Mus musculus: one gene and its partners. The protein of the gene in region 1 binds, or shares a complex with, the protein of each later gene. Links are inferred from orthologs where the notes say so. Each region holds a gene or a part of one and is shown in the gene's direction. Other genes may lie near its edges.

What was found.
Region 2: the proteins of Ncapg (region 1) and Ncaph are in contact, whole or in part, in a crystal structure (PDB 6IGX), measured with the Homo sapiens proteins. The link is inferred for Mus musculus from reciprocal best matches to the Homo sapiens genes NCAPG and NCAPH. Residues at the interface, in NP_071741.2 of Homo sapiens: Lys11, Phe14, Arg15, Gln18, His50, Tyr51, Lys53, Tyr54, Val55, Met56, Val57, Glu62, Ala64, Val65, Val68, Phe102, Ser106, Glu108, Ala109, Asn110, Ser111, Val114, Arg115, Ile149, Arg150, Lys152, Asp153, Lys154, Arg159, Glu188; in NP_056156.2 of Homo sapiens: Glu471, Ile472, Asp473, Phe474, Glu475, Asp476, Asp477, Ile478, Phe480, Val482, Tyr483, Phe484, Arg485, Lys486, Thr487, Ala489, Ala490, Thr491, Ile492, Leu493, Gln501, Asn502, Trp503, Ala505, Thr506, Thr507, Leu508, Phe512, Tyr514, Val516.
Region 3: Ncapg (region 1) and Smc2 share a complex: the UniProt entries of both Homo sapiens proteins name them as parts of the condensin complex. The link is inferred for Mus musculus from reciprocal best matches to the Homo sapiens genes NCAPG and SMC2.
Region 4: Ncapg (region 1) and Smc4 share a complex: the UniProt entries of both Homo sapiens proteins name them as parts of the condensin complex. The link is inferred for Mus musculus from reciprocal best matches to the Homo sapiens genes NCAPG and SMC4.
Region 5: Ncapg (region 1) and Ncapd2 share a complex: the UniProt entries of both Homo sapiens proteins name them as parts of the condensin complex. The link is inferred for Mus musculus from reciprocal best matches to the Homo sapiens genes NCAPG and NCAPD2.

The regions. Positions count from the first base shown.
Region 1 is NC_000071.6:45,689,619-45,695,455, forward strand, and holds part of Ncapg (condensin complex subunit 3), read left to right. Parts: intron 1-1,983; coding exon 1,984-2,208; intron 2,209-3,538; coding exon 3,539-3,720; intron 3,721-4,133; coding exon 4,134-4,308; intron 4,309-5,837. UniProt on the Homo sapiens protein: Regulatory subunit of the condensin complex, a complex required for conversion of interphase chromatin into mitotic-like condense chromosomes.
Region 2 is NC_000068.7:127,112,489-127,118,325, reverse strand, and holds part of Ncaph (condensin complex subunit 2), read left to right. Parts: intron 1-100; coding exon 101-249; intron 250-713; coding exon 714-820; intron 821-1,671; coding exon 1,672-1,794; intron 1,795-4,655; coding exon 4,656-4,766; intron 4,767-5,837. UniProt on the Homo sapiens protein: Regulatory subunit of the condensin complex, a complex required for conversion of interphase chromatin into mitotic-like condense chromosomes.
Region 3 is NC_000070.6:52,436,944-52,443,282, forward strand, and holds the start of Smc2 (structural maintenance of chromosomes protein 2), read left to right. Parts: upstream 1-2,277; 5' UTR 2,278-2,467; intron 2,468-3,257; 5' UTR 3,258-3,312; coding exon 3,313-3,480; intron 3,481-5,309; coding exon 5,310-5,459; intron 5,460-6,339. UniProt on the Homo sapiens protein: Central component of the condensin complex, a complex required for conversion of interphase chromatin into mitotic-like condense chromosomes.
Region 4 is NC_000069.6:69,006,433-69,012,269, forward strand, and holds part of Smc4 (structural maintenance of chromosomes protein 4), read left to right. Parts: intron 1-756; coding exon 757-935; intron 936-1,496; coding exon 1,497-1,688; intron 1,689-3,051; coding exon 3,052-3,228; intron 3,229-3,339; exon of another isoform or gene 3,340-3,403; intron 3,404-3,469; exon of another isoform or gene 3,470-5,837. UniProt on the Homo sapiens protein: Central component of the condensin complex, a complex required for conversion of interphase chromatin into mitotic-like condense chromosomes.
Region 5 is NC_000072.6:125,166,601-125,172,437, reverse strand, and holds the end of Ncapd2 (condensin complex subunit 1), read left to right. Parts: intron 1-490; coding exon 491-605; intron 606-678; coding exon 679-802; intron 803-884; coding exon 885-1,040; intron 1,041-1,344; coding exon 1,345-1,522; intron 1,523-1,616; coding exon 1,617-1,711; intron 1,712-2,223; coding exon 2,224-2,304; intron 2,305-2,439; coding exon 2,440-2,623; intron 2,624-3,448; coding exon 3,449-3,575; intron 3,576-3,689; coding exon 3,690-3,848; intron 3,849-4,118; coding exon 4,119-4,204; 3' UTR 4,205-4,431; downstream 4,432-5,837. UniProt on the Homo sapiens protein: Regulatory subunit of the condensin complex, a complex required for conversion of interphase chromatin into mitotic-like condense chromosomes.

The DNA.
Region 1 (5,837 bases):
CACTGCATACCATTTTACCTCTTAAAGCCTCTGTTCTGTTTTGATTTCATGTGTCCTATTATTCTCCTAACCCTTTCTTTTTCTTTCTTGGGCATAGCCCTGGCCCACTTATATACCTACATATAAATACTGTTAACTTGGGATATGAAAGTCTAATAACTTACCTAGGTTAAATCAGTTGTTGGATCTGGCCTTTTTTTTTTTTTAAAGTTAAAAGTATTTGAATGATAGCAGATTCAAGGGCAGAAAACCTGAAGTTTGCCTATATTTTATATGTTACTTTGAAGTATAATTTTTAATTTTTAGATATTTTTTATTTATTGTTTAGCTTTTTAAAAAGTTATACAACAGGGTCTATGATCAAAAGAAGATAACTACTAAATGGATTCAATCTTGTAATCTTTATAAAGGTTTTTAAAAATTATTTGTTTTTGATATTTTGAGACAAGGTTTCTCTATGTAGCCTTGGCTATCCTGGACCTTGCTTTATAGAATAGGCTGGCCTCAAATTCAGACCCTCTGAATACCTTATTGAATACCTCTGTTCCCAGAGTGCTGGCATTAAGGATATGTGCCACCATGCACAGCTCTATAAAAGGTTTTGTTTTTTTGGTTTTTTGTTTTTTTTTAATTTTAAATAAGCATTCTCAGGGCTCTATTGGAAGGTTTTTTTTGTTTGTTTGTTTTTATTTTGGAATAAAAAATATCAAACTGTTAGTAATAAAAATTGATATAATGTATAAAGGTCTGTTAGAAAGGCAGAAGAGGGGAATTAATTTGTTTTAAAATCTCATTAGGATTGAATATTGGTAGCTATTGCTGCATGTAAAGGTTAATGAGAGTATGAAGGAAACAGTTGATGCTGAGCTAGTAGCATATTTGGAGTTTCCAGAGCCATCGTAACAGCATGTAAAGAGAATTTGGTTTTGGCAGATTTACAGGGCTCATTCTCAAAGCATGGAGTGGATATGTTCTTGACATATTCTTCAAAGTTTTTAGAATAAATAATTTTTCTAATTATAATAATTTGACCAATATAGAAGTGATCTTTGTTTATTTTAAAGGCCAAGTTACATTGTATAATATAGTTAATCTTTCATAGTAGAATGCCTCTGCCCCCATGGTTTTGGAATTTGTTGTGTAGTTTTTAACTCAAGATAGATTTAAACTATTTGTGTGCATATACAGAGATCTATGTTGGATATCTTTCTCAGTCTCTCTTCTAACTCTGACAAGGACCTCTCACTGAACCAGGACCTCCTGGATTTGGTTAGGTTAGTCGGCTAATGAATTTCAGGGATCCACGTGTCTCTGTGCCCCCAGTTCTTTGGTATCATTGTGCACTGCTATGCACCTAGCTTCCTGTGTGGTTGCTGTTTATCTGAAATGAGGTCTTCCTGCCTATGTTTGACAGGCCCTTTATGGATTAGGTCATTTCTCTAGCTCCCTAAACTGCTTTATAAAAGACTACTTGATACCTGAATTCACTATTAATGAAATCTGAATTTACTAAGTAATGAGAAAAATTTTCCTTCAAAGAAACTTAATAGTACTGACTGTAACAAAGGTTTAAATGGATTAGAATATACTGTATTAATATTTTTGATAGGCAGGTAAAACAATTTATATATAAAACACAGTGCAGTTTTTCTGGATCTTGGACAAATGATAAAACTTTATCATAGTTGGAGTTCTTTTTTTTCTTTTTTCTGTTTTGTTATGAAAGAACCAAATAGCACAGTCCATCTGGACGCTGACTCTGAAACTTTTTTCCACTGCAAAAATTAAGGGCTAAAGCTCCAGATGTTATGAGATAAACATACTTCTTTTTTAAAATGAAAACTTTAATTTTAATTCTTAGAAATGTTCACACTTAACACTCATTGAGATTTAATTAAGAAAAGATACTAATTTTATTTAGGTTATAGAATTAAGTTGTTTTACTGAAATTATTGGGGGGTGTGTGTTCATGTCTAATTGTAGGTTTTGCAAATCGATGATGTCACAATAAAAATAAGTGCTCTAAAGGCAATCATTGACCAATTGATGATGTTTGGAATTGAGCCATTTAAAACCCAGAAAGTTAAGGGCGTTCAATGTGAAGGTGAAGAAATAAACTGTCATGATAAGCAAGAAGAAAATGATGCTGGAGAGACTGACCCAGCTAAGAGTGTTCTGAAACTCCTCTCCGACTTCTTAGACAGCGAGGTAAGAAGTCACCCAGCTCTACAGTTAGGAAGCATTTGCAACACGTGTTTATGTTCTTTGCTTGAATTTTGTACTCGTTTACTTTTAACAGGATTTTATTTGGTTTTAAAAAAAAATCTTAATTTAAAATGTAAATTTCACATCTACTATATTTTCATTATCAAACTAGTGTTCAGAGAACTGAAAGTGCTTTTGCCACATTTCTGTTACTACAGTAACAGAAACGAAATTAGAACAAGTTGTATTGAAAATTAACATAGTTTTCATTTTTAAAAATACTTTTTATTATTTAAAACAAGTATTAAATTTATTTTGTTTTTTCTTCATTTTCTTTTTGGATTGTTCACTGCTGTAGTATAGAATCTCAGCTGAGATTTGTGTGTGTGTGTTTAACTTTATAACTTTTTTGAATTGGCTTATTAAGTAATTTTGGAAAAGGAATTCTGGGGATTTTTTTCTGTGTAGAACCATGTCATTTCTGAATAGCTACAGTATTAATTCCATGTCTTTTATTTCTTATTTAATTGTTCTGCTTCATCTAGTACAGTGTTGAACACCAGCCGTTAAGTGTCTGAAGCAAATGTCCTTGTCATATTTGTGAGTTTAGTGGAAAAGTTGAGAATCTTGTTAATAAATGTGTTAGTTACAGGGTTTTTCATAAATACTGTTTATCATTTTGAGATAATTACTTTCTATTCTTATATCCTTGGCTGTTTTGTGTTTATATCTTAATAAAAAGATGTTTGATTTTGTCAATTGTTCTTTCTGCTTCAGGCAATATAGTCATGAGGGATTTTCTTCTCTTTGATATGTTGTATGGTATGGAACATTACTTGATTTTCATTTGCACCATCAGTGGATTTCTGGGTTAAGTTCTGTGTGCTCATGATGTATAGTCCTTTCACTGTTGATGAGCTAGGTTTGCTACGATTTTCTTTGGTTACTTCAATTTTAAATTTTGTTTTCCTCACAGTCAGATTAATTGCTCTCTTCTTGTTATTACAGTGTAATTTAAGTTATCATTTTGAGATTTTTTTAAAATACATTTTTTAAAAATTTTAAAATGGAGATATTTATTACTGCAGAACTTCCCTGAGCACTGTTCATTGCAATCCCATAAGTATTTTATTTTAGTTCTGATCTTTGAGACAGTGACATTCTGTAGCCCAGGTTAATTTAAAACTTACTGTGTAGTCAAGTCTAGCTTAAAACCTGTAGAACTCCTTTTATCACATGCATAATAAAATTAATTTTTGGATAGTTATTTTAAAATATCACACATAAAGGAAACTAGAGATAAAAACTTTCTAATGAATGTCATTTTTGCTAGGTATCTGAACTCAGGACAGGAGCTGCAGAAGGACTAGCCAAGCTGATGTTTTCTGGGCTTTTGGTCAGCAGCAGGATTCTTTCTCGTCTTATTTTGTTATGGTATAATCCTGTGACTGAAGAGGATGTTCGACTTCGACATTGCCTAGGAGTGTTTTTCCCCATGTTTGCTTATGCAAACAGGTAGTGAGTCACTGATTAAATCTTACCTAAAGTCAGGTTCAGCTCTCCCCACCTGAACTATGTCTCGGCCATTTTGTTCTTGACACACTTTTCTATAGATGAATCATAAGAATGTAACATACATTTTATATACCCAGATTTCTCTTTCCTGCATATGTAAGGTATAAAACGAACTATATCTCTTCAATAGAGAGTTTGTGAATATTTTAGATTTAAAACTTTTCTCTTAAATAATGTTTTGCCAACTTGCGAAAACATTGGAGCTTTTTTGTTGTTGTTTTTTTGTTTTTGTTTCAAATCATTTCATTCAGCAGCTTTAAGTTGGAGTGGCAAAGAGGTTAGTGGGATCTGAAGTCTTCAGCAGGGCAGATGTCCTTGGCCTTGTACTAAAAGTCCTGATTTCTTTTCAATAGGACTAATCAGGAGTGCTTTGAAGAAGCCTTTATTCCAACTGTGCAAACACTGGCCAATGCCCCAGTGTCATCTCCTTTAGCTGAAGTAGATGTCACAAATGTTGTTGAATTGCTTGTTGATCTGACAAGACCAAGTAGATTAAATCCTAAGGCAAAGAATTCTCAGGATTATCAGGTATATATGGTAGCCTGTGGATAGCAAATATAACTGCATGAAGATCATTGTTGTTTGATTAAAGAAGCCTTCTCCTGGGATTTTTGAAATCATGATGAACTACATTTATATTTTGAGCCTTTTGTTTTTCTAGTATATAAGACAGTTATGGGAGGCAGGGAAGTGTGTCTTTGGGTAAATGTGGAGAAATGATGAAAATAGAAGTGATCATGGCAAATGTTTTGCATCCTAGAAGTTACTAAAACAACATCATTTCCATTACCATTCTCCCCACTTAGTGAGGTGATCACTGAAGTAAAGACTTCTGTTACTACGTCTGCAAATGTTGGCTTGCTTGTTATGCTGTTAATACTGAGGAGGGAGGACAGTTTAAAGGTGTTTATCTCAAGATTTTTTTTTAATGAAGCATATAATAGAACTACAAACTTATCTATAAATTATAATGAAATTCAATTTTAAAATTCTTTAATGATGTTTGAACACTTAGAAATTTGATGGGTTAATGATTTCAGATGCCAACTGCAAGTTAACAGTTTTGTTCTATCTGTATATTTATTTGCTATTTAGTGACTGCTCTGCTCGAATCACATTTGTTATTAGGAGGATTATATTACAAAGGATATTAAGCAAAATATATTAATAGTGATTAGCCATCAAGTGCTTTTGGACTTCAGAAAAGTATAAGATTCATTATAGGAATGATGTATGTATCATTAGTTTTATTTTCCTTACAGGGTATTAAGCCTATGTATGGTCTGACAGGTGCTAGACAACTGTCTGTTTTACTGCTGAACTATATCCCCAGCCCTCTTGTCACTTACTTTGAGACAGGGGGCTCAGGTAGGCCTTGAATTTGCAGTTGTACTATCTCTGCCCCCAAGTAGATAGGACTATAGGTGTATGCCATCAGACTTGTCTGATACTAGTTTTAAAACTCATTTGAGTTTTAAAAATTCTCTTGTGCTTGGTTGGATTTGAGAAGTGATTTAAAGTAGAAAGGAAAGATGTATACCTAAAGATGTATACATAATAAATGTAGATGATTATACAGTGGCTGGAGTTGGCCCTATTTGTAGTGTATATATAAGACTTAGTATTAAAGGGTTAATAGCATGAGATTTAGTTATCAAGAAGACTCATTTAATGGTCACTTACGGTTATATGAGATGAAGTGGTGAGAAGATTTGGGGAAAGTTTGAGAGGCAAATGAGATGGTAAACTCTGAGGAAAGTCTACAGTCTTTAGTGAGTAACAGTAGACTTCATAGACTTCTTGGGAAAGTAAGCAAAGTAGGCTGGGGCATAGGCTGGATTGGATTGGCATGCAAGAGTTTCAATTGATTTGTATAAGGGGTTCCAGAATTGAGATGTTCTTTGAATTGCTGAAAATTGAAAATAAGCTGTGCTGTGGTACCTTTGTATCGGTTGGCTAGTCATGTGGTGTGAATTGACCTTCAGGGGGAGTGCTATGATTCTAAAACAGTTCCACTTTCATCAGCTGGATTATCTCAACAACTGGATGCTCCTTCA
Region 2 (5,837 bases), on another chromosome or scaffold:
AGAGGTGGCTAGCATTTCCGGTTTCATCAGTTTCTTACATGTAACTACATGGTTTATATTCCATGCCGTGTACATGAACATGATTTCATATGTGTTACAGGGAAGAAGTTATTTCCCTCGAGGACAGAGACATCCAAGTCATGTGCTCCTTTTTATCCATGAAACCTGGGGAATATTCCTATTTCAGTCCCCGGACCATGAAGATGTGGGCTGGCCCAGATCACTGGCGCTTCAGGCCTCGACCCAAGCGTAAGTCCTGTGGGTGGGACTTGTAGACAGGGCAGTGCAGCGGCACATGCTGCCTGCGGTCTGCAGTAAGCAGACAAGAGATGCTGCTGATCTCTGTCCTTTGCATCTCCTGAGGAGGAGCTAAAGCCGGAGAGCTGAGCCAGCCTCTGTCTGCGGTCAGTGTCAACCTCGGGAGAGTCAGCAGGAGGGGCAAGAGGGAGATTTAGTCGGGAGAACAAGGCTCATGGCCTTACCCTGCTTCCACGGACCAGTACGACTTAAACTGTAGGAGCCTCTCTTAAATTGGAGGGGCTGGAGGAAGCCCCTCCAGCCTTCTACAGACATTAAGTTAGGTGGGCATGAGGTGTAGTGATGTGTAACTGCCATAAATTGCACCTTAAGCTTGACAAGGCCATTGGTAGATGTGAGATGAGAATACTGTTGACACGGAGACGAACGGTGCTATAAACTGTTTATTTCTGCAGAAGATGCTACCTCCTGCACAGAGCACAAAAAGAAGAGTGCAAAGAAAGACTTTGAAATTAATTTTGATGATGATATTGATTTTGATGCATATTTTCAGAAAACAAAGGTTTGTGCCGGATCTCCGTGCCCTTCTTAGATGACTGCCCTCCTCTTGCCCTTTCAGACAGGCTTTTCAAAAGTCTCTTAACAAGCTGGGTGGTGGTGGTGGCGCATGCCTTTAATTACAGCACTCAGGAGGCAGAGGCAGGCAGATCTCTGAGTTCAAGGCCAGCCTGATCTACAGAGAGAGTTTCAGGACAGCCAGAGCTATACAGAGAAACCCTGTCTCGAAAAATCACCACCACAACAACAAAATCATTGTACAGCCTGGTGTAGTGGTATACGCCTTTAATCTCTGCACTCAAAGGCAGAGGCTGTGGCTCTCTGAGTTCCAGACTAACCCAGGTTTCATAGAGAGACCCACAACAAAAGAAGCAAGCAGAAAGTTATTGTATATTTCAGTTTTTGTTTTTTAGAAATAGGGTCTTATGTAGCAGGCCATCCTCACCTCAAACTTGCTATATAGATGCGGCTGGCCTTAAATTTTTGTTCCTGACTATACTCCCCAATATGCCACCATGCCTAGCTATAACTTTAATTTGGTAAGCAAGTAGTCTGTTCTCTCCCTCAGTCCCTGAGGGACCATTGAGAAACAAAGTCAGTGGCAGGGTCAAGAAAGTTTAGGGTTTTAGATAGGGTAGCACCATGTAGCCCAGTCTCCTGCCCTCTACAGGGCTGGCCTTGAACTCATGCCAGCGCGCCTGCCTCAGCCCTCTGAGTACTTTGGTTAAGTGCATCTGCTCTCGTGCCTAGTACAATCACTTCATCACTTCATCAGACAGACCCGAGAGTTGCAAGTAGTAGAGCAATGCCCAAACCCATTTGTCAGTTATTAAGAATTTTTCTTTAAACAAATAGGCTGCTACCATTCTGACCAAGTCCACTTTGGAGAACCAGAATTGGAAAGCCACCACTCTTCCCACAGATTTCCACTATGAAACTGATAATCTGATCCAGCTTCACCTCAAACCAGGCAAAAGGGTAAGATGGTGCCTCCCTTCCTTTAAGCTGTTGTGGCTGCCAGGCCTGTCGATGGCCTGTGTGGATCAGGTGGCTTGTCCTGTTGCTGATGTGCAGTACCTCAGAGGAAAGGAGGGAGGCCAGGAGGGGTCACAGAGAGTGGATGGTGAGGTAGAGCTGAGGACAGAGACTGCAGAGCCCTCACTCAGAGAGCTCTGCCTGCTTACAGCCCATCGCAGGGTCTCGGAGGGTTCCTCCTGGTTATAGCCCATCACCTGGGTTACACCCCATCACAGAGAGCGCTCCGCTCAGGTTACAGCCAGCTCTGTAGTTCTGCTCTTGCACTGGTTTGTAGTTTCCTCCTTATCTTGTCTGTTCTTCTACATGAGCTTGCGTTCTTTTCCTCTAGGGCTTGAGCATGTTCTAACTTTTGTTTTCTTTTGTAGCTCAGGCTGGCCTTGAACTCGCGACATATTCCCAACTTGCCTCAGTCTCTGGCTCCTCATGCTTCCGCATTTTTAAAAAATTTTTTAAAGATTTATTTTTATGAGTACACTGTAGCTGTCTTCAGACACACCAGAAGAGGACATCAGATCCCATTACAGATGGCTGTGAGCCACCATGTGGTTGCTGGGAATTGAACTCAGGACCTCTGGAAGAGCAGTCAGTGCTCTTAACCGCTGAGCCATCTCTCCAGCCCCGTGCTTCAGCCCTTTGAAGGACCAGGATTCCAGTTGTGCACCACTGTGTTTAGTCACCGTGCAGTTTTAATGATATGCATATATTTTCCTTAGTTCACCAAGATGCTACACTCTACTTAAAACAGACTGGCATGTTTTCTTTCTGATCAATGTTGTTCACTTAGCAGAAATGCTTTGGTAAACACAGGAATCGGCAGCTGCACAGCACTGAGTTGCAGCTCTTGATGCCAGCAAGGACAGACAGTCTGGTGCAGGATGGCAGAGCAAGGCTGAGCTACAGCCGCACAGCAGAGTCCCCTGGATGGCTCCCCTCCCTGTGGCTGTGATTGTGGACTTTTCAGTAGGCTAGCCAAGATGGTAATTTGCATATTGAGAGGAGAATGTGATGGAGAAAAGCCGTCCTATTGTAGAGTCTGGTTTTTACTCTTTGATTTCCCCAACCCCTGTCAATAAGTAGCTGATTTTCTACAAATTGCTTTTGTTTCTTGTTCCTGACCCCCACCCCACTCCCACCCAGAAGCTTATCCTGTAGCTCAAGCTAGCCTGAAACTGTGTAGTCCAGGTTTCTGTCTCCACCTCATAAATGCTAGGACGAGCCCCCATGCCTTGCTTGTCAGTATTTCTTTGAAAGAAAGAACTTGAGGTCTTTATTATACTCAGAATCATATGAGAGGCAGGCAGGCAGGCAGGCAGGCAGGCAGGCAGGCAGGCAGCAGGAGCTGGAGGTCCTTTGTTCTTCCACGGAGCTACACTAGACGCTAGAAGTTTGGCAAGGGGCAAGCTTGCACATGCACAGAGAAGGGCTTCCCAGTGGAGAAGAGCTCCATGTGTCATGAGAAACAGTGGAAGGACGTTGGGCATCTCTCTTTCCTTTTTTTCTTTTTGGTTTTTTGAGACAGTGTTTCTCTGCATAGTAGCCCTGGCTATCCTAGGATTAGCTTTGTAGACCAGGCTGGCAACTCACAGAGATCTGCCTGCCTCTGCCTCACAAGGTCTATGATTAAGAGCATGTGCCAGCATTGCTCGGCTAGTGGGCCATTCCTTAACTCACTCAATGTTTGATATTATCTTTGAATTTGTATTATAAAAATATTGTTTTAAACAGTTGATTTTAGATTGTATTAGAATCATCAAGATAGTGTTGCAAGTTAAATCCATCTCCAGCTACATTCTCCTTAATTCAAAGGCATATTCCAAGGATAGCCGACAGGGTAAGAGCCACAGATGCTTGAGGGCTGTGGTGCCTGAGCCCTCCCATAGGGAGGCACAGTTCTGTGGGCTGTGGAAGGCTGAATGAAAACTCAGGGATAAGTAGGGGAAAGAGCTTCTTTCTTTGCTGTGTGCTTGCCCCAGTAAGGGGCAGCTGCCTTTATTATTTTATTTTTTGTGTGCACGCGTGCGCTCATGCTTGTGTATGTGCTGGGACAGATGTAGATTTGGGGTGTCTTCCTTGTATATCCTGTGTGGGAACATGCACATGGGTACCGCAGTGTGTGTGTAGAGGTCAGGGGATAACTTGGAGGAGTCAGTTTTCTTCTTCTACCATATTGAACCAGGGGATTGATCTTAAGTTGTCAGGCTTAGTGGCAAACAGCTGCACCCACTAAGCATCCTCCCAGCTCCTCCTGAGACAGTGTCTCACGTCGCCCTGTAGTCACCAGTTAGCTAAACTGGCTGGTCAGCACAGTTCTAGGGACCCATCTCTTGGCTTTCCTGAACATCTGCTTTTTTACATGGGTGTTGAAGAGCCAGACATAGGCCTCATGCTTGCAAGGCCAGCACTGTACTGAGTCCTCTCCCCAGGCCCCTGTGGGCTGCCTTTAAGATAAGGAGTTCTTAGCAGGGTTGTTCAAGTACAAGTTGAGTTTCTTTTAGAAAGTTGTAGATGGGTGGCCAGCCTTTGGTTTTAAGTAAAACTGCAGAAGATGCAGTTTGCAGAGCAGAAGAGGAAGTGTTTTGGTTTGGGGGGTGAGTAGTGGCTCTGAGTCCTGTATCTTGTGTTGTTCTGTGCAGTAGAGACTTGGTTAGACTATGTAGCCTTTTAGCCACACACACACACACTCTAGGGTCATGTCCTGCTAAAATGAGACTGAAATAGGAAACAAGATTGATATCCCCAGCTTCGCCCAGTAGCTGCTTTTTTTAGAGATTTCTTTTTGCACACCCCCTCCTCTATTCTAGTCACTTAAGATGGACCAGGACCAGAAGGCTAAGACTGAGCACTATGAGGAAATTGAAGACTATGATTACAACAACCCTAACGACACCTCCAACTATTGTCCTGGACTTCAGGTAAGGGGAGAAGAGTTCTTGCCTCTTCCAAATGGTGGGTAGTCTCTTCCCTGGTTTCTGATGCCCTCTGTCTCAGTGTATAGCAGTGAACAGTGCTGAGAAATGAGCTGGCATGGCCGCTTTCCTCATACTCCAGGGGCAGGAAGCAGTGGGCAGGATCTGTGGGGTGGTTTGTATATGCTTGGCTCAGGGAGTGTCAAGTAGGTATGCCCTTGTTGGAGTGGGAATGTCACTGTGGGTGTGAGCTTTAAGACCCTTCTCCCAGCTGCCTGGAAGCCAGTCTTCTAGTAGTCTTCAGATGAAGATTTAGGACTTTCAGCTCCTCCTGCATCATTGTCTGGACACTGCCATGCTCCCACCTTGATGATAATGGACTGAACCTCTGAACCTGTAAGCCAACCTCCATTAAATGTTGTCCTTTGTAAGAGTTGCCTTGGTCATGGTGTCTGTCACAGCAGCAAAACCCTAACTAAGACACTCTGCTAATGAATAGACAAGTGGATAGGCTCTGGCCTGTACAACACAGCACTAATCTTGGATATTGTGGAATTTCAAAGAAATATAACTACACTTCCTGTTCATAGGAGCTAATATTTTGGCTATGAGTTGAAACAAGGCATGCGAAAGTGGTGTGATCTAGTAGGGCCAAGAACTCTCTGGAAGTACCTACTTATCAGGAGAACTTGTCCAAGCCTTTCCTCATTCTCAGACCTTGGTGGGCATTGCTAATTTGTTTCTCATTGTGAGTCTCCTGAAGAAACAGCAAATAGAAGCTATGGTGAGGAGGACAGAGCCTCCTGTGACCCTTCATGCAGGGAGGACAGAATTGGACAGTCATTTATTCTGTTTCTTTCTCTACTGAGGGGAGAGATTGTTTTGTTTTAATGAGGATCTAGTCTGACCTCTTGGCCGATGCTTCTGCAACTTCAGCGCCGGTAAGGACCAGCCCTGGAACCTGTTCAGAGCTCTGCCATACTGCCTATGTCACAGTTCTCATCCGTTCACTCTGGGCTTGGTTCTGAGAATGGCTTTCTGTGAGTGGAGACTGCAGACCAGCATGAATGAAGCAGG
Region 3 (6,339 bases), on another chromosome or scaffold:
AGTACAGCATAATAAAAGAGTACACTTAAATACTTAAGTACCTGTACATTTTTATCCATTTGTCTTAAGGATATCATCTAGCTATTCGTCTATTAAGGTAGCCAACATACTAATGATGTCTGTCTTAATATCTGTCTTAAATTTTTATCCCCCAAGCAAGTAATAAAATTTGTGAAAATCCATGTTAGATTTGTCTAAAAATCAAAATTCCTTATTCATAAAAAAGTGATCAAAGGAATATAGCAGAGCTGAAGGTGAAAATGTATAATTCAACAGAGCCAACATAAATAAGTCAAGTCATTGGAGTTCAAGAGTAGTAGGAATTACACCAGACAAAATATCTTTATTAAAGTGGTGTTAGCTAATTTCACAGACAAATAGGCTGATACCACAGGAAGGCAGGTAGCATACTATTATAGATACTGTACTGTTTCTTTTTTGTTTCTTTGTTTTTCGAGGCAGGGTTTCTCTGTATAGCCCTGGCTGTCCTGGAACTCACTCTGTAGACCAGGATGGCCTCGAACTCAAAAATCCGCCTGCCTCTGCCTCCCAAGTGCTGGGATTAAAGGCGCGCGCCACCACTGCCAGGCAGTCTGGCACTTTTTACTTGAGAACCTGCTGCCAATGCTTGCCTAGGAAGTTCTCAGGTTCAGGAAGGCGATCTTCACTTTCCTCCCTGTCTACCACTGTAAATTTCAGCATGCACAGGACCTGCAGTTCTAAGCCAGTATTGAGAGGGAAAATAGAAACAATCCTCCATCCTAACCCAGAAGCTATATCCAATTGATAACTGCTGCAGAGCAAATCATTTTTCCAGTGATGTCTGGGTGTACAAACCATATTTAAGGGTAGTCCCTCCCGATGCCTAGCAATAGATGGCCAACATAAAACGAACTTAATGGTATTTTTAGAGGGTTTTTGTCTCACACTGCTTTGTCTGAACATTTCCATTTAATATTAAAAATCTTTTGTTTATTATGTATTATGGTTTCTGCTTTTGTTTTTATGTTTTGTGTGTATATCTCTGTGTGAATGTGTCTCATTGTGTCTCTAATGCTCTTTCTTTGGCTTTTTTCCCCCTCCTGTTTATTTGGTCCTTCTGTTTTTAAAATCTTATTTTATCATCATCATTTTAGATGTCTGTTTATATTCTTATGAGAAAGAGAAAAGAAAATGTGTGGATTTGGGTGAGTGTGGAAATGGAGGAGGTTCTAGGAGAGGTTGGGGCGGAGAAAACTAATCGGAATATACGGTAGGAAAAAAAATAAATTTTCAATAAAAAAAACAAAGCTAAGCCCTTCTCTTAGTATTGATGCTTAAATATAAATAATCCCAACACCATTTTTTTTTTAAATTACATAGTTGATGGGGATCAGCTCTAACTAGCAATGTAAAATTAGCAGTTGTAGATAATAAGTTTAGGAGTACACACTCTGTAGTTAGGCAGCCTGGAACAAAAATCTCTCTTCACTTATAAGTCGTTTAACCCAGTGATTCAATAAACTCGTCTGTACAAAAGGAAACACTAGGGTTCCACGTTTGTTGAGGAAATTCTTGACAGCCTTTGAAACACAGCTACCCGATCTACAGAACTCTGTAAATACAAACTGTTATTAAGAAGCTTCAGCAACATTTCGTGAACCGGTACGTCAGCCACTGCTTATCATTAAACAGGTTTTCGGCATAAAAAAAAAAAAAAAAATCTTACAGCCGTTTGCCTAGCATCTTCCACCAAACTCCACATACTGCAGGCCTACAGTCCCCTCCGGAAACTGGAACTGGTTTTGGTTTGTGTTTTCAAAGCCAGTGCCTTTCTCTTCAATTAGTAGAAAATGAAGCCTCAGAGGACTTTTCTCACTAGTGTTGGTTTCCACCCTGTAATATCCTCGAAGGGTCCCGGGACCCCCGGCCCGCCCCCGCCCCGGCCCGCCCCGGCCGCGCCCCGCAGCAAAGAGCGTAGACCGGGAGGGGGCGGAGCCTGCGGACAGAAGCCAAGGCTCCGACCGATAGCCTGAAAGGGCCAGAAAGAGGGCGGGGCCGGCAACGCGCGAGGCCCAGACCTGGAAGAGGTGCTGCCCAGAGCATGCCTGACGCGATGTCAGCACGACCTATCTTCATTTTCGCTTTCCATGTTCAAAACGGTATAGTCTCCTACCTTCCAATATTAAAACTATTATTTATTGTCGCTATGTCGTTTCTGTGTTTTTCCTTAGGGCAAAAGAGGAAGCGCTTCAGTCAGGCAGATACTAGGCACCAACAGAGCGCAGACGCCTCGGAGTTGGGGTCCTTTGCTCGCGCCGAAATTCAAAGGAACAGTTCCGGCACGGTTGTTGGCTGCAGCGGATGCGGTGCCCGGGATGGTGGCGTTCGCCCGGTAGCGCCTGAGTACAGGTCGGGTGGCCTCACTGTCCACTTTCGCGTCGGGTTGGAACTTTGCTGGTTCCCCTGGCCAGCCGCTTTGTGGCGGGTGCGTAGTGCTGCTCTTGGCCCGGCCTGGTGTCCAGGCGGGAGATGAGGCACAGGGGTGGGCAAGATTCTCAAGGAGGGACTTGAAGCGAGAATTAGAGATGTTGACTGTTGTTCATCCGTAAGGTGAATCGAGAAAGGCTTGGGCAAGCGAGAGAACACGGAATTTTAAAACGAGGCAGTAGAATGGATTCACTTCGCCCTTAAGGTTCACTAACTACCCGGGTTCTGAGAGTCGAGTGTAAACAGAGTTAAGGTCGTATGTAGGCAAAAAAGCACAACGGGACCGAGAATGAGTTGGAAAGACGGTGCCGACTGATGTCATCTTTTACTGCTGTGGAGGAAAAAGGAAGGAGAGGATGGGTGTGCGTGCTATTAGGGAGATCCATGAAGGACTCCTGTAAGATGTATGCTAAGTGGTGTGCAGTAAAGAGTATTCAGTCCAGTGTCGTCTGTGGCAAGGATAATGAAATGGGAAATAATTAGTAGTCTCTGTTAACTACAGTATTGTAGTGCAACACGAACCTAGGAAAGTGGACAGTAATGATAAAGATGATTTTTAGGTTAAATGGTTTAACTTACCGGCATTGGCTAACGGTTGGATGTTTTAAAATCTGAGCCAGCTGTTTTTAGGAGAAAAAGTAGTTTGGCAGGTGTATTTTTTCTTTTCTTTTCTTTTCTTTTTTTTTTTTTTTTTTTTTACTTTACGTTATTGTGTATCCTGTCGTATTTACTATGATTTGAGGGTTTTTAACATTCTACATAAATGATCTTATTTCTGTTTTATACAGACGTGACTTGTAGCTTGTTGCCTAACAGGCTTACTAACCCAAGACAGTTTAGAAAATGTATGTTAAATCAATCATTCTCGAAGGATTCAAGTCCTATGCACAGAGGACTGAAGTCAATGGTTTTGACCCCCTCTTCAATGCGATCACTGGTTTAAATGGTAGTGGAAAATCCAACATATTGGACTCCATATGCTTTCTCCTAGGCATCTCCAACCTGTCCCAGGTAAAGTGTCAGCTTTTCTGACTTATGTGTTGGCAAGAGAATCTGTTAATCTGTGGAGACTTTGGGTTTTCTTTCTTTGCATGTTTGTACTTCATGTGTTTTGTTTGTACTTCATGTGAGTTATGTTGTGTTGCAGTGCAGCCGTTTAAGCAAATACTATTACTGTTTCATCCTGTAGACAGACGAAAAGATACATACAGAGGCCTTGCCTGAGGTTTGTCCTCCTAAGCTGTTGGGAGTAACACCCATACCAGCATACCAGCACTGTTATATTGGGTAGTCTCTGTTCTCAGTCCATACCTGCTCTTTTTTTTTTTTTTTTTTTTTTTTAGTTTCCCACATTTCTTTTTTTTTTTTTTTTTAATTTTTTATTAGGTATTTTCCTCACTTACATTTCCAATGCTATCCCAAAAGTCCCCCATACCCACCCCCCAACTCCCTTACCTACTCACTCCCCCTTTTTGGCCCTGGCGTTCCCCTTTACTGGGGCATATAAAGTTTGCAAGTCCAATGGGCCTCTCTTTCCAGTGATGGCCGACTAGGCTATCTTTTGATACATATGCAGCTAGAGTCAAGAGCTCCGGGGTACTGGTTAGTTCATATTGTTGTTCCACCTATAGGGTTGCAGACCCCTTTAGCTCCTTGGGTACTTTCTCTAGCTCCTCCATTGGGAGCCTTGTGATCCATCCAATAGTGAGCATCCACTTCTGTGTTTGCTAGGCCCCAGCATAGTCTGGGTCCTTTCAGCAAAATCTTGCTAGTGTGTGCAATGGTGTCAGCGTTTGGAAGCTGATTATGGGATGGATCCATGGATATGGCAGTCTCTAGATAGTCCATCCTTTCGTCACAGCTCCAAACTTTGCTTTGTCTCTGTAACTCCTTCCATGGGTGTTTTGTTCCCATTTCTAAGAAGGGGCAAAGTGTCCACACTTTGGTCCTCGTTCTTCTTGAGTTTCATGCGTTTAGCAAATTGTATCTTATATCTTGGGTATCCTGATAAGTGGATATTAGCCCAGAAACTTAGGATACCCAACATACCTGCTCTTTTTGAAGGGACTCTTGTTGGCCTCTCGTGGAAATATGGCTCTAGCAGGCCATGCCCTTCCATCCAGTCCCTCTGCCTTGCTAAAAACTGTTAGATTACATTCCTAAAGTTAGCCACCAAGGTCCATTCCCTTATTTTGGTCACTTCTGCCTCCTGAGGCTGACTGCCAAGGTCCAGCTATCAAAGTATTGAAGTCCAGCAATCAAAGCACCCCCCCCCCCTGGCTCACCTAATTAAAATGCCCAATCAAAATTAACCAATTTATCCTAACATGGGGGTTTCCCATTTATGTTTATAAAGTGCTGTTTGTCTGTGGAGCACAGCTGTCTCCCACCCTCCCAGAGGCAGTCCTTTGTTGTCTCTACTCCCAAACCCAGGACAAATACCCCTTTCCCTTTCCCTCTCCCTCTCCTTCCCTCACTCTTGTGTCTTGAGCCAATACTGGTTCTTTCACTTGTGCTTACAGTGAATGCCCTATCAGAGTGAACTAATGGGCATGGGATGGCTAGTGAAGTTCATAGACAGTACTTCCTTGAGTTTTGAAATTAATTCTTGCTAAGTCAGTAGAAATTCAAAACAGAAAGAAAGTGCTATTGAAAAAAGTACATATTATAAGTTATTGTCTGTAGTCCTTGCTTTTCTTGCTGACGGATGTGGCTGCCTGTTTTTACTTAACGTAACACTATATAGGTGGGTTTTCCAGAACAACACATATAGTATTAATCCTGCTCTTGTATAATATGATGCTTTGTCAATGAACTTTCCTTTCCCTTTTTAATTATAGGTGCGGGCTTCAAATTTACAAGATCTCGTTTATAAAAATGGACAGGCTGGGATTACCAAAGCCTCTGTTTCAATCACTTTTGATAATTCTGACAAAAAGCAGAGTCCGTTGGGATTTGAAGCTCATGATGAAATCACAGTAACAAGACAGGTGAGTAGCTGTCAAATATCTGGATAGCTTATGTTGTGTGGCATTGTTTCTTGAAAGATCTGCTCACCCCAAGTAGAGAACCAACAATAGACCAAAGCATGAATACCACCACAGTGCAGCTTGGTAAACCATTGAATTGTACTAGGATTACTTACAGGATTTGGGGTGAGGAATTATTTACAGAAGTAGAAATGACTCAAAGACAGCTGCGTCATCCATAGCTCACACAACTAGGAACAGAGAGCACACTGCACAGCCTGCAGACAACTTGACAGATGAGAGAGTATCTTTTCTATCATTTGGTCTAGTTTTAGAGCAGTCTCACTGGGCCCAGACTCTTCCAGGTAGCTGGGCTGGTCTCAGTGGTCTGTGTAGCTTTTCTCTTCTCAAGAGTCTTCCTGCACTTCAGCTTCCTTGGGGCAGTCGGGTCTTATTGCTTGCCCTCACAGGAAGGCACCTAGTGGTCTGGTTAGCTTTAGGGACTTCTTGAAGCTACCTTGAGTTTGTTCTCTTTAAACTTCCCTGCAGAATGGGACATCCCAATCTTAGAAGAAACTGTTTCACAGAACTGCACTATGATACAGCAGTGGTTCTCAACCTCCCGAGAAACTGTATCAAAGGCTAGTAGCGTTAGTAAGGCTGAGGACCACTGACTTAGAGTTTCTCTTGGAGGCAGGTCAGCTGAACCCAGCATCTTTCAAGTAGTTGCTGGTCTGCAGCCTATCTTATTTGAGAGTGTCTCTCAACAGTACTTCTTGCATAAGCGTAATGGGCCGTGGGAGTGGGCAGTGAGTCTGGTCTGTTTCGGGCTTTCCTGGAGGTTTTAAATGGTTTACCTCCTGAATTTTAAGGTGCTTTGCTATAGGATGGAATGTTTCAC
Region 4 (5,837 bases), on another chromosome or scaffold:
CTTTCTCATATTTCCGCTGAAAGCGGCATGGGTGCTGAGCGCCTCTGCGCCCTTAGACTGGAGTGAATGTGATGTGGAGTTGCGTGACTCGCCCTTTACTGTTGGATTGTCTTTTGGGGCGCAATACTAATTTTTACTTTATAAAGTGTGTCAGTGTTGGGTGACGCGGGCATATGTACATGAGTGCAGGTGCCCCTGGAGGGCATGAACCTCGAGCATCCCATTGTGGGTGCTGAAAACCAAACTTGGGTTCTACACAAGAAAAAAATTGCTGGGCCCCCTAGATTGCCTTTAAAGAGAAGGTATAATTGAGAGCGTAGAGCAGGCGGAGGGTAGAAATTAAGAGCTACTGTGAAATTCCTGTCACCATGTTACTGAAGTTTGTGAGTTTCTTAAGCTGAGCCATGTGGAGAGTTGGATTTTCGATTGTTAGGGTTGCATCTCCTGCATCAGGGAATCCGTTTGTTGCAAGGTTTTCTTTATGGTATATTGAGTATTTTGACTCCTCTAAGTACAATGTGTATACCACACATTTTGTGACTGGTCTGATTGCTTTCACGAATTTTATTTTACATAAAACTAATCTGAAGGATTATCCATCCCCATGAGTTTAGGATATGTTTGTATGGAAGATAAATTCCTAGGTTTCTTTAAGTAACATCCCTCCATTGTGTTCTTTAAATACTAGCAGATGATAGACGTTCAACTAATTACACTAATGTAGGCTTTCCCCTCTTTGCCTCTCCCTTAACCTAGAGCCTCCAGGTGAGGAGCTGGATAACAGAAGTTTAGAGGAGATTTTGAATAGTATCCCTCCACCCCCACCTCCAGCCATGGCCAGTGAAGCTGGAGCTCCTCGTCTCATGATAACTCATATTGTAAACCAAAACTTCAAGTCCTATGCTGGAGAGAAAGTTCTGGGACCTTTCCATAAGGTACTGCCTGCTCAGATAACGTGGAATACATCTTTAATTACAAGATATTTCAGTGTTCTAACGGTCCTGACTCTTTACACACATATGCTCATAGACGCACAGACAGTATGTTGCCTGTGACTTCAACAACAGGAATGAGTTTTTCTTTATCTGATGTCTTTGGTATATCTTTAGCAATATTTGCATATTGAATGGAATCTGTTTTTGTTAGAAGGGAATGTTTTCCCCGTTGACTGTGCTAATGAGTTTTGTAAAATGTCGGGATTAGAATTTGAAGGTGGTTTTTATTTAAATGGTGAAGCTTGTGCTATTGAAGAACATGATGTAAGAAAACTCAGATTGTGTTTTCCTTCAGTTCCCTGGCCCACTCCATTCCTAGGGTGCTTTCCTTTTCTTAATAAACTGCTTTTATTTCTAAAGAGAAAGAAAGAAAAAGTGTTTATCTTCTAATGAAAACTTTTAATGATACCTTTGATTTTTATTACAAATTAAATTATGGAGTAGTTTAAAATTAGTATTAAGTGTGACTATTTAAATTTTTAAAAATTTACTTTTATGCAGCGCTTTTCCTGTATTATTGGACCAAATGGCAGTGGAAAATCCAATGTTATTGATTCCATGCTTTTTGTGTTTGGCTATCGAGCACAAAAAATAAGGTCTAAAAAGCTATCGGTACTGATACATAATTCTGATGAACACAAGGATATTCAGAGTTGTACTGTAGAAGTTCATTTTCAAAAGATAATTGATAAGGTAAGATTTTCTACTTGCACCTTCAAGCAAGAAAAGGAAACATGCCACATTTTGTTATTGTAGATCTGAATTGTTCTTTATTTTACTTTGTGTATAATTAGAGCAATAAGAAATGGATTTTGCTTCTGTGAACATATTTACTTCAGCTTTTTGGAAGAATACAGTGATGTAGGGGCCCTAAGTGCTAATTCAGCATTCACTCACTATAAATATGGGCTTCATTTGAAAAGTTGTACATTTTTTTGCTTTAGGATAAACATTTTAATTTTTAAAATGCAATAATTGACTCTAAAATGTAATAATTAGTAGCTATGTGAGAGAGAGAGAGAGAGAGATGAAATTTTCTAAGGTTTGAACTACCGTGATGAAGTATGTTTTGAAATGGTAGGGGACAGGCATCTGTTTAATAGCTTAGAAAAATTCATGGTTCAAAAAGCAACGGAAAAGAACCTTAAAAAATAAGTGCCCATAGTAAAGTAACAGATAATTGGATGCTGGTGGGGATGTTTTACATATAAAGAAATTTAACTACACAGAAGCATCTATCAGAATTTTGCTTCTGAATTCATTCTGTTGCACATTTGAGTTAGAGAATTAGATTGCCAATAAGTCATGATAGTCTAGTACCTGTTGTTTAATTAATCCAAAATTAAATATGACACGGAGCCTTTTAAGAATAAATGAACTTTAATGCTAAGATGGACTTATAACTTGATTTCCTTTATTATGTATATGATTGCAAATTTTTATGATGGTTTACTTCTAATTAATGATAGGAAATGCTGTTTAGGAAAGGGAATCCTGTCTCCCTACACACACAAACACACACACACACACACACAATCATACACAATCTTTACTCGCAGACCCTACCACTACCAGAAAAGTATTTCCCCTAAATATTTTCCTTAAATTGTTTCTTCTTGAAGCTTTTTAACAGTCACCAAGGTTATCTGAGTGGAGTGGGTTGTTGTAGATATGCTGAGGTCTTGTTCGCCTTCCTTGGCTCTCATTCAGATATATTTTGAATAGGCTGAAATTTGTGTTTGCTTGGTTTAAACTTTTAGAGATTTTTGAGAAATAAACCAAACAACTTGGAGAAGTATCTAGTCCTTTGTAAAGCAATTTATTTTTTATCTCACTTTAAAATGGTTGTCAGCCTATGGCCATACATAATTCAGGGGAAATAAAACAAGCAATAGGTGAAAAGGATTAAAATTCGTTATATACATCTGAATCTGTTAAAGAATACAAGAAAAATATTTAATCTGTTGAATTAGTATCAGTATAAAGTAAATGAAATCTGGATTAAACCTGTGATTTAATACCAACAGTTTTCGGGTTCTGTTTTTCCTAAAAACAGGAAGGAGATGATTACGAAGTCCTTCCTAACAGCAACTTCTATGTATCCAGAACCGCCTACAGAGATAGCACTTCTGTCTACCACATAAGTGGGAAGAAGAAGACGTTTAAAGATGTTGGAAATCTCCTTAGAAGCCATGGCATTGACTTAGACCATAATCGATTTTTAATCTTGCAGGTACGTTTAAAAATTCTTCCAAGGTTCTTGGTTTTTGATTTTTGGCTTGTACTAAAGCTTGAAAGAGTGTTCTTCTGTTTGCTGAGTCCTGTCTTTTGGAACCTTAAAGTACTGTAGCAGCACATCATGGTTTACATACTACAGTCAAGATGCGAATCATTATTTGCTGCTCTAGAAATTTAAGGAAATTCATTCAAGATTATATGGTACCATCACAGTTGTATTATGTTTGGATATCTGACATGCTTGTTCCACTCTAGCAGCACGTAAATATTGGCGTAGTGAAATAAATATTAAACACCAATATTATTGTGCTGCTTTAGTGTGACAGGGATATAGCAACTCATTTCTGTTTGTTATTTCCCTTTAAGATAACAGTTTAGATAAAAATCTTTTGATAATCTGTCCCTTTTGTTTATTGATATTTAAATATAAAATAATATAAAAACCATATACTTGATATCACAACAAGTTTTCCTGGGTACCTAATGTAATATTTTTAACATTATACTTGCATAAAGGTTTACTCTGGGTGAATTTAATTTGTTTATGAGGACCTAATTTCTTAAACCAATACTGTTAGTATCAGTTCTTAGAAATATAAACACTAGGTTCCTGGTATTTTTTTTTTATTATTAGACCTTGTATTTTATTTGTTTCTTGCTTTTTGCTTGCTTGTTTGTTTATTTTTCCACTTTTGGTGTGATTATGGAAGTAAAAGTATATTCTGATAGTGTAACAGAAGGAAAATTTTGTCTTTCCTACTTTTTTTTTTTTTTAAATACAGCCTTGTTAGGGACTATGAAATTGCTGTTTTGATTTAAAGGCTTTTTTTAAAATACTATCCCAGTCTACTAAGAGCATAAATAAAATGTAAAAAGAGAGATTGTTATGCAGAGCAGCTGTGCCTTGTACAGTACATCTTGTGCTACTGATTTTGAAAATAAGTTGGGAGTTTCAATGTGATTTAAAATGTTCTGTTGTGTAACTAAGTGTTCCACTAACATACTTTTCACAAATTTCACATTATATTCTTAAGGCATTATTATTATTTGAGGCATACACAGTATAAAAGACAAATGATAATTTTCTAGAATACCCCTTAAATATCAGAACAGTGCATTTACAATAATTTAGTGAACCAGTGTTACTTAAAAGTAAATATTGAAAAGAATCAGTTGCAGATATATGTGTAAATAAGATTTGGATTTATATAGCTGTAATCTTATGCCACTGTAGGTATTTTGCTTTGTTTTTTAAATGAATTGTACTGTTTATAGATTTCCATTTTTTCAGGAATTTGGCTTAATTAATTGGATAAAAAGTTGTATTTCTTTATAATCTTAAATTTAATGGTGGTAACAGTTTTGTAGGGAATTATACTAATCTTTGGTTTATTCTTTGCTGTGTGCTTTATTTTATTCTGAGATCAGTTTTATGCCAGTACAAAATAGACTATATTTTAGATCTTGTAAAGTTTTTGTACAATTTACTTCTACATAATTTGCTAATGAAGAAAACTGATAAAGTAAATTCCCAAAGAGATAAATAAGTTGTTGAGCTTATATTAACGCCTACTTCTAGAGTACTAAAGATGATTGATTGTTGGTCCTCCTAACTGAACCCTTGTCACAATTAAACTTTTATATTCTTTCCAAAGAATACTAAGTTGAACATTCTAATTAACATTCAGTTTGATTTGGTTGAACTTAGATAAGAACTTTAGCAACTAGATAGAACTCAGAATTCTATTAAATTTGAAAGTGGAAGTAGTTTCTGAGTTTTTCTTAGCTCCTTATCAAAAATCTTTGATTCTTCAACTAGTAAGATTTAAATCGTGTGAAGGAAGGTAAGTACTATTGTAGCTTTTATTTCATTCTCTCTTCACTAACATTTGTTAGGGGGGGCTAGAAAATTGAAGATAGTTATCATAGTATTAGCATCCAGGGTGTAAGTATGCAGAGACAGTGATAATGATTACATCATATGTAATCTAAATTTAGAAAAAGCAAGTTTTTAAATATTAAAATGAACTAAATTTTAGAAATGGAAAAGGCTTTTATACTAGTTATAGATTGATGTTTCTTTAAGCCTTGCTATTATCCAGATCCAGGTTTCACTGTTTAAATGTGTTTCTAGTGAGGCACTGTGCTAAGATTAGTCTAAAAATGCATAAAGGCTATTTCTTATCCTTATGGACAGCTATACATGGGTGTGTGTACTTCACAAGAAGTCACATAGTTGGTTGACCATTGGTTTACATAGTTTTGTATGTTCCAGGAGAGACTATGATGTTTAAGACTTACTGGCCCAAACAAGAAAGGTTTTATTATTAGCCGGTAATGTTTCATAGATACTAACTAGATTTTACTGGTTTGCTCCATGAGTGGGTGATTTTGTTCCATTTGGGTTAGAGAAATGATAATCGTGTGCTTCTGTTACCCTTCTAAGTTAATTAATACATGGCTGTGTTGAAAGTGGGTTTGTAAATTCCTTAAAAAGCAGGGTTTTGATTTGGTCCGTTTTTAGTTCCATAGCTTTTCATCTTTTATAACAAAATGAAACAAATGATTTTTGCTACTCTTTTCTACTTTGGAGAATGGGTTAAC
Region 5 (5,837 bases), on another chromosome or scaffold:
TCTTTATGGACTTATTTGTCATTCCTGTGGACGGTTTTATAAATGATGTCTTACGGGGAGAGAGATGGCTCAAGAGGTTAAGCGCGCTTGAAGAGAACCTGAGTTCAGATCCCAGAACATACATGGTGTCTCCTAACCATCTGTAACTCCAACTCCAGGGAAACCCAGTGTCCTCTTCTGGCCTCCGTGTGCAGTGCACACATGTACGATTGCATACATGCCGGGAGAGAGACTCATAAAACAACAAAAGTTTAAAGTCTGTCTTAAAGCAGGGTGAAGCGGTGCACGCCTTTAATGCCCGCCCCCGCCTCTCTCTCTTTCCTCCTGCCACTCCCTAATGCCATCTCTTAAGAGACAGAGGCAGGCAGATCTCTGTGAATTTGTGGCTAGCCCAATCTACATAAAAGTTTTAGGAAGGACTGGGCCATGTAAGCACCTGTCTCAAAAAAGAAAAGTGGTCACCCAACATCCCTGGCTTCTCTTCCTGCAGACTGCAAGCTCTGAAACTACAATGGAGGAAGAACTGGGGCTGGTGGGGGGGGCCACTGCTGACGACACAGAGGCGGAGCTCATCCGAAGCATCTGTGAGAAGGAGCTGTTGGACGGTAAGAAAGATCGCTATGTGCCCTCCCCCAGTTGAATCAATCTGTCCCTAACCTGGACATGTTCTTTTGTCAGGCAACCAGGTACTAGCTGCCTTTGTTCCACTGCTACTTAAAGTCTGTAACAACCCTGGCTTATACAGCAACCCAGAGCTCTGTGCGGCTGCGTCGCTGGCCCTTGGCAAGTTCTGCATGATCAGGTAGGCCTAGTTGGCTTCATCTCAAGGAACATGAGATGGTACAGCCCTCTTGCTTTCCTGATGGGTCTCTCTTTGCCCTCAGTGCCCCTTTCTGCGACTCCCAGCTTCGTCTTCTATTCACCATGCTGGAAAAGTCTTCACTCCCCACTGTGCGATCTAACCTCATGGTTGCCACAGGGGATCTGGCTATCCGCTTCCCTAACCTGGTGGATCCCTGGACTCCTCATCTGTATGCCCGGTAAGAGATCCCTGGGCCACCTGAGACCCACTAAGAGTTCACGGGCTCCTCCCCCACCCGTGGCACTGACTTCGGTACCTGCTGGCTGTTCACCCTGTACAAGCAGGCCCGAAATGGGCACTGGGAGCTGAAGCTTCCCTCTAAAATCTTGCCTACAGATCTCGTGGTCCCTGACTCCAGCCTTGGAGCTGCTTCTAAACTGGCGTACTGTGGAACAATAGATCCTTGTTCTTAAGGCCTTCCTATTGTTCTCAAGGTACAAACACGAGTTCTTGATCTTAGTGACTAGAGTTTTTATTCCTAGCCTCCGAGACCCAGCTCAACAAGTGCGGAAGACAGCGGGGCTGGTGATGACGCACCTGATCCTGAAGGACATGGTGAAGGTGAAGGGGCAGGTGAGCGAGATGGCCGTGCTGCTCATCGACCCTGTGCCTCAGATCGCTGCTCTGGCCAAGAATTTCTTCAATGAGCTCTCCCACAAGGTGAGAGAAGCAGCTTGGGGCTTTGTCGGGGAGATGGATAGGTCCCACTTCTGCCGGCTGCTCCCCGCCTCATCTCATCCTTTTCCTCCTACAGGGCAATGCTATCTATAATCTACTCCCCGATATCATCAGTCGCCTGTCAGACCCAGAGGGCGGAGTGGAAGAGGAGCCCTTCCACACCATCATGAAGTATGGCTCTTTAGATCTAGAGTAGTGGGGGGGGGGGCACACAGACTTAGGATGGATGGATGGATGGATGGATGGATGGATGGATGGATGGAATGCAAAGAATGAAGAAGAATGAACACAGGGTCTTGCATGTGCTAGGCAAGCACTCTGCCGCTGTCTTCAGCTCTAGATGGACATTTTAGCCGTACTTTCTCCACAAGTTACTTGACCTGTTTGCCCGTCTTAACCGTATGAGGTTGACAGGACTTGCTGCATAGTTGTGGAGGCTCTTACATAGGGTAGGGTGCTGCTTGAGGGTGAGGGTGAGGCACATAGTAGCAGTCACTAGGTGGCAGCTGTTATTTGCTTTCTCAATAAAGGGAAGGAGACCAGAGGACAGGCGGTAGAAGGCCATGCAAAGAACTCTCTTCTAAAGCAAGGACAGAAGAGGCCATGCTGGGGTTGGGGTGGTGGCTTCAGTGTAGGAGCTGAGAAAGGGGTTTCCTGGCCAATCGTACACTCTCTCCTCACAGGCAGCTCCTCTCCTACATCACCAAGGACAAACAGACTGAGAGCTTGGTAGAAAAGCTGTGTCAGCGGTTCCGCACAGCCCGGTATGCTCCATTTTGGGACATCTTTGTGCTAAGAGGGACCTTTCAGAAGAGAGAGTCCCTGGTGGCATCCGTGGGACCAAAGGAGACTGAAGGGGGAGGATGTGTGTGCCTCACAGAGTCTCTCCCTCCCTGTAGAACTGAGCGTCAGTACCGAGACCTAGCCTACTGTATGTCCCAGCTGCCCCTCACAGAGCGAGGTCTCCAGAAGATGCTAGACAACTTTGAGTGCTTTGGCGATAAGCTCTTAGATGAGTCTGTCTTCAGTGCTTTCTTGTCAGTTGTGGGCAAACTGCGTCGCGGGGCCAAGCCTGAGGGCAAGGTGAGTGGTCCTGTTAGGTTCCGGTGCAGTAAACTTCATCTGCCTCCCTAAGTGCTCTGAGACTCCTGTCTGAACTTTCTGCCTTGCTAGCCTCACTACAGCTATGGAACCAGAGTGACTAAGACCAGATCTTAATTCCTGGTCCCTTTTTTAAAGGCCATTCATTTCCTTTTTTGTTAACATGCATTGGTATTTTGCCTGTGTATATGTTTGCATGAAGGTGCCAAGTCCCCTTGGAATTGGAGTTAGACTGTTGTGGGCCCTGAGAACTGAACACAGGTCTTTTGTAAGAGCAGCCAGTGCTCCTAACCACTATGCCACCTTCCCAGCCCCAGTGAAGGCCTTGAGATAGGGTCTTGCTATGTAGACCCAGCTGCCTCAGACTAACAGAGATTCCCCTGCCTCTGTCTCCTGGTAGTAGAGGTATGCCGCACATGTTTGCACTGGACTGCTTCTTTAGAGTAGTTTCATGTTTAAAGCAAAAGTCAGTAAGTAGAGCTCCCATATGCTCTGTCCCACACCCGCATGGCCTCCACCCCATGACCTTCTTGTCCTGGTATACGTGGTCCTGGATGAAGGAACGTGATTGACAGATCAGCATCCAAAGTCCACTCACTGGACACAGTGGCACATACTTACCACTTGTGTCATACTGGGCATTTTCAGGACTTTGAGGTCACCTTACCCCCCACCCCTGTGGTGGCATCAGTTAGTTGGAATCACAGTTTCAGATTGGTTTCTTTAGTTTTCTCTCTTTTCATGGCTATTTCTTTTTAAGCAGGGAGATAATGTTTCCAGCCCTGTCTTTAACTTTCTGTCCTCCAGGCTATAATAGATGAATTTGAGCAGAAGCTTCGTGCCTGTCACACCAGAGGCATGGATGGAATAGAGGAGTTTGAAACTGGCCAGGGAGGCAGCCAGCGAGCCCTGTCTGCCAAGAAACCCTCCGCTGGTATGAGAGGGATGCAAGCCCACATGGGGCTCCTATGAGTGGTCCCCACCCTTTTTTTGTTCCTTTGTGGTTTGTTTTTGGTTTTGAAATGGTCCCCTTGCCTTTCTTTTCTAGTCTCAAGGCTACAGCCTCTGACTTCTGTAGACTCAGACAATGACTTTGTCACACCTAAGCCGCGACGTACCAAACCTGGTCGTCCACAAACTCAGCAGCGCAAGAAGTCCCAGAGGAAAGCCAAAGTTGTCTTCTTGAGTGACGAGTCCAGTGAGGACGGTATGATACACCCTCCCAACAGATCAGCTGCCTGTGTGGGGTCTTCCAGTGGGGCTTGCCTAGCTGTGGATTCATTCTTCCTGGCCATGTCTTCCTCACTATGCAGCTCGGCTGACTTTCACAGTGTGCCGTGTGCGTGTGTGTTTGTGTGTGTGTTTGTGTGTGTGTGTGCACACGTGTGCGCGTGCGCACGCGCGCATGTGTTTACTTTGAGATCCATTTTGCCCCATCTTTATGACTCAGCTTTTGTTCCTATAATTCTTTGAATAGAACTTTCAGCAGAGATGACAGAAGAAGAGACACCCAAGAGAACCACCCCCATCCGCAGAGCATCTGGGCGAAGACACAGGTCCTAGGAGCTGCCTTTGCCTACTCCCGTCCCTGCCGTGCAGGGTATCTTACTGGATGATCTTGGATTCAGTGCCCCCCCCCCCTTGTAGAAGTGCTTGTTGTCTGTGGTTTTAACATGGAAATGGCCTTTGCATTGAGGTCTTTCTCTTAGAGCCCTGCTGCCACTTTCCCTTTCTCCGAGCCTGTGCCAATTGCTGTTTTCTAATGAATAAATGTTTTTATAGACTTTTAAGCATCCTGTCCTGGCTGGTCTGTCCCATCCTTAGCCCTGAGCTGTGTCTGGATCTTCATGGCCCCTGTGGTGCCTCATCCTTGCACAACTGAAACTCTGCTGTGCAGAATTATGCGGTTTCTAGGTTCACGTGAACAGTTCTCAGCAGTCTGGGGTACTTTGCACCCCAGAAAACATTCGGTAATACCTAGAGACTTATTTCTGTTTGCCTTGTGGGGCAGGGGGCTGCAGTGAAAGCCTTAAGATGAAGGCCACCTTCATGCACATTGTGCCCCATAACACAGCATGTCAGGAGTACACAACTTGAGAAATGCTGCTCTAGACCTAAGGTTTGTTTCCTCTGTGCGCCCCACCCCATCCCCCGAAGACTGGCAAATGACTCAGCCTGGCTAATGGCAGAGATTATGAACCCCACTCAGTTCTATAGGTGACAAGGTCCATCGCCCCAGAGCCAGTCCTTCACTACACTAAGGGGTCTGCAGGAGGTCCAGCTGTAAGCCATGCTGTGTGCCCACCATCCCCAAGCCCTTAATCTGCTGAGTCACTTGGAGCAGGAGGCACAACTGCTGTTTCTGCTGCCATGACAACAGCACAGTGCTGCTGAAGTGCTCCCTACCTCTTGGTGAGGGGACAGTAATGATAGATGACAGGCGTGAGGCAAAAGGGAAGGTGCACCTCTGAAACACTAGGTTAGGGCTGGGCTATGGAAGGGCTCTTTGGGTAGGAAAAGGGTTAACGCTGTGCATAGAGCCTCGGTAGGAAGGCAGAAAAGGGACTCTGAATCTGCCATGCCTCTCCTCCCCACCACTGCGCTGGGGCCACTCCCACCCTTCCCACCCTGTTCATCTGGCCTGCTCCCCGCTCATGGGAAGCCTGGGCACGGGCCACACAGCTGTCAGTCTAACACAGCCTTGGCTCTGGGGCCCCAAGGAGGTAGGGCAATCTGGAAGGGCAAGGAGCCAAGACTAGATTTGGGGTGCAGCCCAGCGTGCTCCCTGCCTTTTAAGCAAAGGTTATCACCAGGCCAGCTAAACTTAGCAATAGGCTCTTGAGCTAGATGAGCAGGGGGCTGGTTTCATGTTGCACTGGCCTAGCAAAGAGGCGCCAGAGTCCCCCTGCCCTGCACCTGCTACAGTGCTCCCAAGCCCTTCCACCCTTCCCAGCCTCCCTACCCTTCGGAGTGAAGAATCCCGGTCTCGAAAAGACAAAATAAAACCAAAGAATGCCTTTTCTCCCTTCCACTTGTGGCAAGAGGCTAGGGGCTTCCCTGTCCTGGCTCAGGGGTATAATATTTCCTCTCCTGTGTTCTCCCCTCACTGATCTCACCCTGTGTCCACGAGGGCAGCCAAAAAAGGAGAGTCCCTGGCTCCAGGGCCAGTCAGCACGTCCCTGGATGGGGAGGGACT